Caenorhabditis elegans: one gene and its partner. The protein of the gene in region 2 interacts with the protein of the main gene of each other region in a biochemical or structural test. Each region holds a gene or a part of one and is shown on either strand. Other genes may lie near its edges.

What was found. Proteins that work in one complex are often made in the same cells at the same time.
Region 1: the proteins of rad-51 (region 2) and helq-1 form a complex in vitro, tested with the Caenorhabditis elegans proteins (one study listed by BioGRID).

Annotation. Positions count from the first base shown.
Region 1 is NC_003281.10:583,905-588,889, reverse strand, and holds the start of helq-1 (Helicase POLQ-like), read left to right. Parts: upstream 1-1,784; 5' UTR 1,785-1,792; coding exon 1,793-1,868; exon of another isoform or gene 1,869-2,888; coding exon 2,889-3,320; intron 3,321-3,376; coding exon 3,377-3,555; intron 3,556-4,027; coding exon 4,028-4,396; intron 4,397-4,494; coding exon 4,495-4,587; intron 4,588-4,636; coding exon 4,637-4,773; intron 4,774-4,822; coding exon 4,823-4,985. Other genes in the region: Y55B1AR.2 (Flocculation protein FLO11), read left to right, coding at 518-623. UniProt on the Caenorhabditis elegans protein: Single-stranded 3'-5' DNA helicase that plays a key role in homology-driven double-strand break (DSB) repair.
Region 2 is NC_003282.8:10,280,969-10,286,124, reverse strand, and holds rad-51 (DNA repair protein RAD51 homolog), read left to right. Parts: upstream 1-1,880; coding exon 1,881-1,905; intron 1,906-1,989; coding exon 1,990-2,069; intron 2,070-2,110; coding exon 2,111-2,392; intron 2,393-2,628; coding exon 2,629-2,775; intron 2,776-2,829; coding exon 2,830-2,987; intron 2,988-3,473; coding exon 3,474-3,565; intron 3,566-3,614; coding exon 3,615-3,891; intron 3,892-4,022; coding exon 4,023-4,149; 3' UTR 4,150-4,491; downstream 4,492-5,156. Other genes in the region: thk-1 (Thymidine kinase), read left to right, coding at 4,558-4,584.

The sequences.
Region 1 (4,985 bases), on a different chromosome or scaffold from region 2:
AAATATTTGAATTCTGCAATTAGTTTATTGTTGTTTTACAACCATTTCAATCACAAATTGGCAATTTTTGAAATCGGAGTATTTTTGTGAGAACGGTCCACAGCTTAATTTAAACCTATTTCACTACAAATTAATACTCTCCTATTGGATCCCAAAATAAAACCGTTCAAGCCACTTTTAGTGCTTAACACAATACAAAATGCTGTGTGAATTATTTCTTATTCAAAATATCTGACCAGAAATAGTACTTAATAAGAATTCCAATGAAAAAATGAATAAAATTATAAAATTTTCTGAAAAGGTAGTATTTAAGCAACAAAAGTAGTATTTTAGCAATGGCAGTATTCTAGCAATAGTAGTATTCTAGCAATTTGGTAGTATTCTAGCAAAGGTAGTATTCTAGCAATAGTAGTATTCAAGCAAAAGTAGTATTAACACAAGGTAGTATTTCAGTATTTGCCCATTTTTTACGCTCCTCTTTTCTAATAAAATCCACCAAAATTCTACAAATTTTCAGACATTCCGTGGCCGCCGCCGTGCGTCTTGCGACATCGAAGCCAGAGTCTTCCACATCTACAAATGGAACCGCCCGGCATTTTGACAACGCCGACGAGTGCTTCTGAAACGTCTGAGGATGGTGAAAAAGGTGAATTTTTAAGAGAAATTTGATGGAAAATTGAAGATTTTAGCGAAAAAAGTGCCAATTTTCATGCTCATGGGTCTGCTAATTATTTAGCATACCCAACTTTGGTCTGCTAATTATTTAGCATACCCAACTTTGGTCTGCTAATTATTTAGCATACCCAACTTTGGTCTGCTAATTATTTAGCATACCCAACTTTGGTCTGCTAATTATTTAGCATACCCAACTTTGGTCTGCTAATTATTTAGCATACCCATGGGTCTTTTTTTTTTAAATATTATTTTTAATTGAACAAAACTTTTAGGTAAATAAATAAAAATAAAATAAGAAGATTTACTGCTGATTTAATTTTTTTAAAAATAAAATTAATAGAGAATATACCAAAAATTGATACAACAATTTCAACGTTTTTCTGAAAAGATGAGAAATCCAAACGTGAACGAAAATTGACACTCAAATGACTTAAATAATTGAATAATTTCTATGAAAACCTCAATATTTCAGCAATTTTCCGCCCAAATTCAACTCGTCGAATGGCTCGAAGTCTGTTAATAACTCCATCGATTTCACACGATTCTCCGACTTCACTTGCTTCATTTCTATTAAATCCCCCCAAAAAATAGTCATTTTTGTTCTTTACCTGAAAATATTTTCCCGTCCCCTCTGCCTTTCTCCCACAAATTTTCTCAGCAAAATTTCGCTTGAAACTTCAAAAATGCATTTTCCATCCTATTATTTCTGACGAATTATACCCTAAATGTCAATTAAAAACCGGTTCCAACATGACTTTTCGTGCAATTTTATCTCTAAAAATGCACAATTTTATCCCAACTTTCTACTTAGCCGGTTACGAGTTTTTTATCCAAAAAGCCAAGTTTATTCTCCCATAATTCGCATATTTTTGTGTTTTTCAAAAAATTTCGAATTTTTTTTTGAATTTTTTTTCGAATTGTCTTGTATATATATATATTCTATGAGTTTCTTTGTGCCCCCAGCCCAATTATGATTCCGATAAATCCACCATGAGCTTTTTATTTAAATTTTTTATTCTAAATTTTTAACTACTAATTGTTCGTTTTTGCGTGTTTAACCTATATTTGAATTTATTCCAGATTTTCAGAATTTCCACGTATCTTTTCAGGGTTTCCCATGAACCGTACACCGATACGAAGGTGCAAATCTGCAGAAATAGAGGAAGATCCGTTTTCGCCTATTCCAAAATTTTGTAGGTTTTTTGTATGGAAAGGCAACGTGGATTTCAAGAAGAAACCAAAACATTTTGGAAAGTTTGAAAAAAAAACCCAGAAAATTGAAAAAGTTCAGAATATTTTAGAACCTCTGAAAACAGCGAAAAAATCCGTAAAATTTGAGAAAATTTCAAAAATAAAATGAGATGTTTAATAAATTCAGAAAAATTCAAAAAAAAATTCCGGAAAAATTTCAGCAATTTTTGGAAACTCAGGAAACAACGAAAAATCCGGGAAAATTGAAAACAATTTTTAGAAATTAAAAAAAAATTGGTAAACTCAAAAAATTCCGAATAAATTCAAATAACTGAAAAAAAACTTCAGAAAATTCAAAAAAAAATTCCGGAAAAATTTCAGAAATTTTTGTAAACCCGGAAACAGCGAAAAATCCGGAAAATTAAAAAAATTAACTCAAAAATTCCGAACAAATTCAGAAAACTGAAAAAAAAAACACTTCTGAAAATTAAAAAAAAAATCGAAAAAATTCGAAGAAAATCCCGAAATGTACTTCCTTTGAAAATCCAAAAATCAAGAAAATCGTTTTTAAAAATCCTAAATAGTTGAAATAAAAAATTTTGAAAAGTAAAAAAAAAACTAAACTCAAAAACTTCCGAATAAGTTCAGATTACTGAAAAAAATTCAGAAAATTCAAAAAAATTCCGGAAAACATCCTGAAATTTTTGGAAACTCCGGAAACAGCGAAAAAATCCGGAAAAATTGAAAAAAAATTAGAAATTAAGTAAAAAAATAGTTAACTCAAAAAATTCCAAATAAATTCAGAAAACTGAGAAAAAACACTTTTGAAAATTAAAAAAAAAATCGAATAAAATCCCGAAATGCATTTGCTTTGAAATTTCTTCATTCCAAATAAATTTTAAAAAAAGAGTTTAAGAGTTAAAGTTCTTACTGATGCGTTGAACTTATCAAAACTCTTCAATAATATATTTTTTTTAATTCGACGATTTTTTAAGAGATAATTAAAATTTTCAAATTTCCAGCACGATTACGAACGCCTCGAACATCTCGAGAATACGTATGTCCACTAAAATCCACATCACCACAATCCCCATCATCATCGACTGAAAATGAGCCGCCGCCCGTCTCCGTTACATCACCACCTGCGAGAAAACGGGCACTTGAGGAATCCACGGTGACCCCGATACAACAGAAAATAGGGCCGCCTGTGCTTAAACGGAGTTCTTTGAGCAAATTGGCCGATGGATTTCGGACAGCTGCATATTTGAATAATGAAAGTGAAAATGACGATGATCCATTTGGATTATCATTTCGAAATGAGCAAGTTTTGATGTCAAAATGTGCTCCAGCACCAGAAAAAAGGCCTGAAACACTGACGCTGGATCCATCAAAATGCCTACCAGAACGTGATATGGAAATGTACAGAAAGATCAAAAAATTGGATAAATTTTACGGTAACAATTATTAAATGTTGGAAAAAAAATTTTGAACTTTCACAAATTTTTTGCAGATTGGCAACAAGAATGTCTCTCCGACAAACGACTACTCGATGGAGAAAACTGTATTCTTTCCCTGCCTACCGGAGCTGGAAAAACGCTAATTGCTGAAGTTTTGATGCTACGAGAAGCTATTGTTCGGAAGAGAAACGCTATTTTAGTGCTCCCATATGTAGCTATAGTTCAGGAAAAGGTATACCATGAAAATGCTTGAAAATTGAAGGTTTCTAGCGATTTCGAGCTATTTTAGACACCTTTTTAGTGATGGGCCTGCTAAATAATTAGCAGACCAAAGTTGGGTATGCTAAATAATTAGCAGACCGAAGTTCGGTATGCTAAATAATTAGCAGACCGAAGTTGGGTATGCTAAATAATTAGCAGACCGAAGTTCGGTATGCTAAATAATTAGCAGACCGAAGTTCGGTATGCTAAATAATTAGCAGACCGAAGTTGGGTATGCTAAATAATTAGCAGACCGAAGTTGGGTATGCTAAATAATTAGCAGACCGAAGTTCGGTATGCTAAATAATTAGCAGACCGAAGTTGGGTATGCTAAATAATTAGCAGACCGAAGTTCGGTATGCTAAATAATTAGCAGACCGAAGTTGGGTATGCTAAATAATTAGCAGACCGAAGTTGGGTCTGCTAAATACGTATATTTCCAGATATCAGCGTTGGCTCCATTCGAAGACGCATTTGGCATAAATATCGAAGAATATGCATCGAATAAAGGAAGATTTCCGCCGATAAAACGTCGAAAACGAGTATCAGTCTACGTGGCAACCATTGAAAAAGCCAATATGCTCATAAATTCTCTCATTACTCAAGGACAACTGGATCGAGTTGGAATGGTCGTTGTGGATGAGTTACATATGATTGGAGATGGTGGAAGAGGCGCAATTTTAGAACAGTTACTGGCGAAATTTCTGTACAAAGGCACCGGCCAAATAGTGGGAATGTCAGCTACTTTGCCGAATATTGATGACCTGAAATTCGCGTTGAGAGCTTTTGTGTATAGCACCAATTTCCGACCGGTAAGTTTCTTGAAAATTTAGAATTTTCGTGAAAATTCGAAAAAAATTCGTGAAAAAATCCAGAAAAATCCAATTTTCCTAAAAATTATGTTTTACAGGTAGAACTCACGGAATTCGTAAAAATCGGGCAAACGATGCACCAAGTTTCTGAAAACGGAGATCTGAACCCCGCTGGGGATCTCCCTACAAATGTAAGCGGACAATTATAGAAATTTCAAAAATTGAATAAATTTTCTTCAGAATCTAAAATCAACTGATCCAGATGGAATTTGCCAGCTGCTCGCCAAGCTCATTCCCAAAAATTCGGCCGTAATTTTCTGTCCGAACAAGAAGAATTGTGAGAATGTGGCTGTTTTAATTGCGAAAACTCTTCCAGCGTAGGGTGCCACGTGTGGATTTATTTTCTAATCATAAATTAATTTTCAGACATATTCGACAAGCTAAAAGAGCTGAAAGTGATGCATTTCTGCAGTCCTACTTGTCGGATAACGATGATGAACGGATGGATGCTGTGCTGAAACAGTGTATTCTGTCAGGAGTGGCCTATCATCATTCGGGGTTAACACAAGATGAGCGAAAATGTGTTGAG
Region 2 (5,156 bases):
GAAAGGAAACTAATTGGTGGAGAAATTAATATTAATCAAAAACATTTTTTCAAATTCACAACTTCTGATCGCACTAGTAACCGGCTCACTTATAGATGGAAAACCTCTAGATCTAAACTTCGATCCCAATTGTTCACTCATCATGTGTTGAGTTTAATTTTAAGCCCAAATGAAATCAATTACCCTAGTTAGTTACAATTCTCATGCAAAGATTTTATTAACAAATTTCACTTCTTTATGTAGTTTATCAGTAGATACACATGTGTTTCGCGGTTTTTTAAATATTTATGGAATGTAGTTGAGGCATCAGCAATATGATGAAGCAAATATTTTGCACTAAAAGTCGCAATTAGCAATATATTGCTAGAATGTTGGTGGTCCCGCAGCGAGATTAGCGATTTGCAAATTGCATCTAAAATACTGGTGGCCATAAGTATTTTATAACGGCGAATCACCTGTGTCATAGCCTTTCTAAATTATTTGCACTTTCATCATAATTTTTTTTCTTGCGATTCTCTCCATTTTCCGTTCAATGAACGATTTAATACGCATGTTCAATAATAATAAAATTTATCCGAGAGGAGTACAGAAGAAAATTAACATCGCTGCGAGACCAATCGCTACAGTACTCAATGTCGATTTACGGAGGAAACATGTTTTGATTTCTCATTGTTTCTTTTGTCATTTTTTGTCATTTTAGTTTTAAAACTTAATTATCCTCTAATGATTTGCGCGGTTTTTTATTAAATTTTTGATTATTCTCGTAGCTTTTGAGTTAAACTAATTAAAAGTCTTCAGCTATGCTAAATTTTGCTTCCTTTTCTTGAATGAAAACCTAAAATGAACAAAATTTTTTGTCATTAAATAACAACGCTTCGGTTAACGCTTGAAATTGATATTCGGAAAATAAAAAGCCTGATTTTTGTTCGATTTCTGAAATATATTTCATGCTTTACCCGTTTTTAATTGCGAACAATTCTAAATTTGAAATATAATTTTCAATCAACGAAAAACAATTTTCAAGATAAAAAATTATTATATAAATTTAAGCTAAGTATTAATAAATTAATAAGTAATAGTATTCAAAAATCATAGAATCTTGCAAGAAAAAATGTTTTAAAGATTTAATAGTTCGAGTGATTGAAAAACGAATAGTACTTTAAAAAATAATGCTTTAAGGCAGAAAAGTGATATAAAAATTAAGCTCAAAAGGGCAAAAGATAAGGTTAATGTCCAGTTTTGGTTTTAAAATGGTTCGGACACAATGTACATAGTAGACATTTGGGTGTCCTCTTCCTTCTCTTTTCCCCATTGCGTCCACTGACCCTCCTTGCTGTATGTCTGCGCATCGTCTTTTTCTACACTTTTTCCTTTTCCCTGGCCCGTTCCTATCGGTGCCTTTCACACACGCGAGCGGCAGTGGACGAGACGGGAGGGCGAGGTGTTGAACAAGAGTACAGCAAGTGCGCGCCATCGAAAAAGCGGAAAAAAAAATTTCAAATGGCGCTACTTTGAAAATTGAGAATTCTGTATTTACTGCCAGTTTTACTTGCATTTAAATTTCCATGTTTTCTATTCTAAAACGAAAATCTATCTAAGAAAACCCTTAATAAAAACCTATAAATCATAAATTGTGATTCTTAAATTCGAAAATATGTTCGTTCAACTTGACGCCTAGAAATATGTGGACTTAATCCTGTTATAAATCAGTAGTTGACGACAAAAATAGTAGAGCAGCAAAAGCAGTTCTAACTTGTGAAAAACATGAAAGTTCTTGTTTTCGTCAAGCGAACGGGGGCTCGAGGAAGGACTTGGCACGTGTCTCTAGGCCATGTTTTTCTCAATTTTTGTTGCTCTAGAGAAAGCTTTTGCTATTGATTATGGGACAATCTTGGGGATATGAAGGTAACATTTTAAAAATAAGTTTAGGTAAATGTGTAGCATAATTTTTGAAAAAAAAAGCTCCACTGTTAAAAATGCCGATTTTAGGGATTGCGAAACGTTCACTATGTACACATAAATGGCTATATAATTTGAATTTGCATTCAATAAATCTTTTCCTTCCAATTGTATGTTTTAACTTAAAAATAATTAATTAAAATTATCTCAGGAGTCAAAAATGTCAGCTCAAGCAAGTCGTCAAAAGAAATCGGATCAAGAGCAGCGTGCAGCTGATCAAGCTTTGCTCAATGCAGCAATCGAGGATAATGCGATGGAGCAAGATGAAAACTTCACAGTTATCGATAAACTTGAGTCTTCAGGAATCAGTTCTGGCGATATTTCAAAACTAAAAGAAGCTGGATACTATACATACGAATCGCTGGCATTTACTACAAGACGCGAACTCCGAAATGTCAAAGGAATTAGTGATCAGAAAGCTGAAAAGATAATGGTGAGCATATCAAAAAATCAGCTTATTCGAGAATTAAAGAAAAAAACTAAAAATTCTGTGGCTTTATTTTTCAAAATCCAATTAATTGAATTGAAAGTATCAGAAAAGTTGATACATTTTTCGAGGTTAGCTCCGAAAAAGAATGAAACGATCAGCTGCAAGGTCAGTTTTGACGGCAAATCGACCAGCTGTGAACATGTAGACATCGGCCTCATATTTCAATGATTTAATTTCAGAAAGAAGCCATGAAATTCGTGCAGATGGGATTCACGACGGGAGCCGAGGTTCATGTGAAGCGAAGCCAGCTGGTGCAGATCAGAACTGGATCTGCTTCACTTGACAGACTGTTGGGTGGCGGTATCGAAACAGGCAGTATCACTGAGGTGAGTTTATCACGGATAAACTGACAACAGTACTCAATAAAACATTTATTTCAGGTTTACGGAGAATATAGAACAGGAAAAACTCAGCTTTGCCACAGTCTGGCAGTCTTGTGTCAATTGCCGATTGATATGGGAGGTGGTGAGGGAAAATGTATGTATATTGATACCAATGCCACTTTTCGACCCGAACGAATTATTGCTATCGCTCAGAGGTTTGTGATTGAGAATTATTCTTAAAAATCCTGAATTTGTCATAATTTGATCTCCCGACTTGAAAATTTAAAAAAAAATTAAAATTTATTTCGAGAAATCAGTAACATATTTTCTCAGTCTGAAAATAGCTGTTATTTTTGCTTGAACAATTGAAAAGGCCAAAAATGGTCTGCAAGTTGGAAATTGCCGTAAATGAACTTTCAGAGATGTTCCGGGTCTTTTTTTGGCGAATTTCAACTTGCAGGCAATTTTTTAGCCTTTTCCTTATTGTTTCAACAAATATAAGTTTTTTTTTTCAGATAAAGTAAATATTTCTCTATATTCTATCACTAAGTTTGAAATAAAAACGTTTGGAGAACAAGTCGCAATGGCTCATTTTGTACAATTACTGGTTTACGCCACATGGCTTGAATTTTGGCATTTGAGAATTTACCTTATTATGGATCTTGTAGCATTTTTTTGAATATCGAAGTAATTTCTTGCAGATACAATATGGACAGTGCTCATGTACTCGAGAATATCGCTGTTGCACGTGCATACAACTCAGAACATTTGATGGCTTTGATTATTCGAGCAGGTAAATCTAAATTTCAAAAAATAAAAAAATAAACTTTTTCGTGCCATAGGAGCAATGATGTCCGAGAGTCGTTATGCTGTTGTGATTGTTGACTGTGCAACTGCTCATTTCCGTAACGAATACACTGGAAGAGGAGATCTAGCGGAACGTCAGATGAAGCTCTCTGCTTTTCTGAAATGCCTTGCCAAGCTTGCCGATGAATATGGTGTCGCTGTAATTATTACCAATCAAGTTGTAGCACAAGTCGACGGAGGAGCCTCGATGTTCCAGGCTGATGCTAAAAAGCCCATTGGAGGTCACATCATCGCTCACATGTCTACTACCAGGTAAACATAGTTGGAGGTTTTCTGAAGATTTTGAACAAATAGAGAACATATTTAATTTTTTTATTAAACATTACATGTGGTCTTTTTGAGGATTTTTTAAAGAAGAAAAATTAAGTTATTCATATTTTCAGATTGTACCTTCGAAAAGGAAAAGGAGAGAATCGCGTCGCAAAAATGGTTCAATCACCCAATTTACCAGAAGCCGAAGCGACCTACTCAATCACGAATCATGGTATTGAGGACGCACGCGAGGACTAGCCGTTCGTTTTTCTTTTTCTTATCAAACTTCATCATTCATATCCCGATAAATATATCACATTTCTGTTTCTCTCCACACTTTCACGGATTCATCATGTTTATTTGGGTCGTTTTTAAATCTAGCGTTCTATGTTCTCTATGAAAAGTTTTCGCCTGCCCCTCATGTTTCACTATTCCGTTACATTCCTTTTTTGTATCTGTATTATATATAGGTTTGTGCATCTCTCTCTCTCTCTTTTGTTTTACCCGTCGTTTTGTATGAATCGTATAGTTGAACTGATTATGTCAGTATTGATAAGCTAATGTTCTTTTTAATTTATAAAGGTTTTCGAAACCTTTAATACTGTATTTTAAAAATGCGTGTTCATCATGTTAACCTAGCAATAATTCCAGATCCAACTAACTGAAATGGACATTGAAGCGGCCAAGAATGAGGTAAGATGATTATCTCTAATTTGCCTATTCGCAAAATGTGGAGTGGAATTTTTGCTTTGTAAAATTCCGGCAACAACAAAAAACCTTGAAAATTGCCTGAAAATACCCAACTGTCCGTACTTATGCTCTCAAAAGCGATTCTTATTATGCAATACCGACGGTCACAGCACATTTGCTGAACAGCTGTGTGACCCTTGCCTGTTGTCATCGTCTCATTCAAATTACTCAACATGATCTTGCCCTCTTTTGATCTTTACTATTCTTATTTAGGTTTTGAAATTTATTGTTAATATTTGTACGTCAGAGATGACTAATTGGCTCCTGATAAGAAAGTTCACTTATTTATGATATACTAGTTTATTTTTAACTGTATATCGTGTTGAGCCAAAAATTTATTTTCTGATTCTACATTTTCCGCTTTAGTATGGTAGATCGAGACATTTTATATGTTTTCCTTTTGCTCTTTCACTGCTCGAAATATATTTTGTGCAATGCCAGACTTCTAAAATCATCTATTCATTTTTTATCATGCAAAATTAAGAATACAGAACGAACAACAATTTCACTTATTT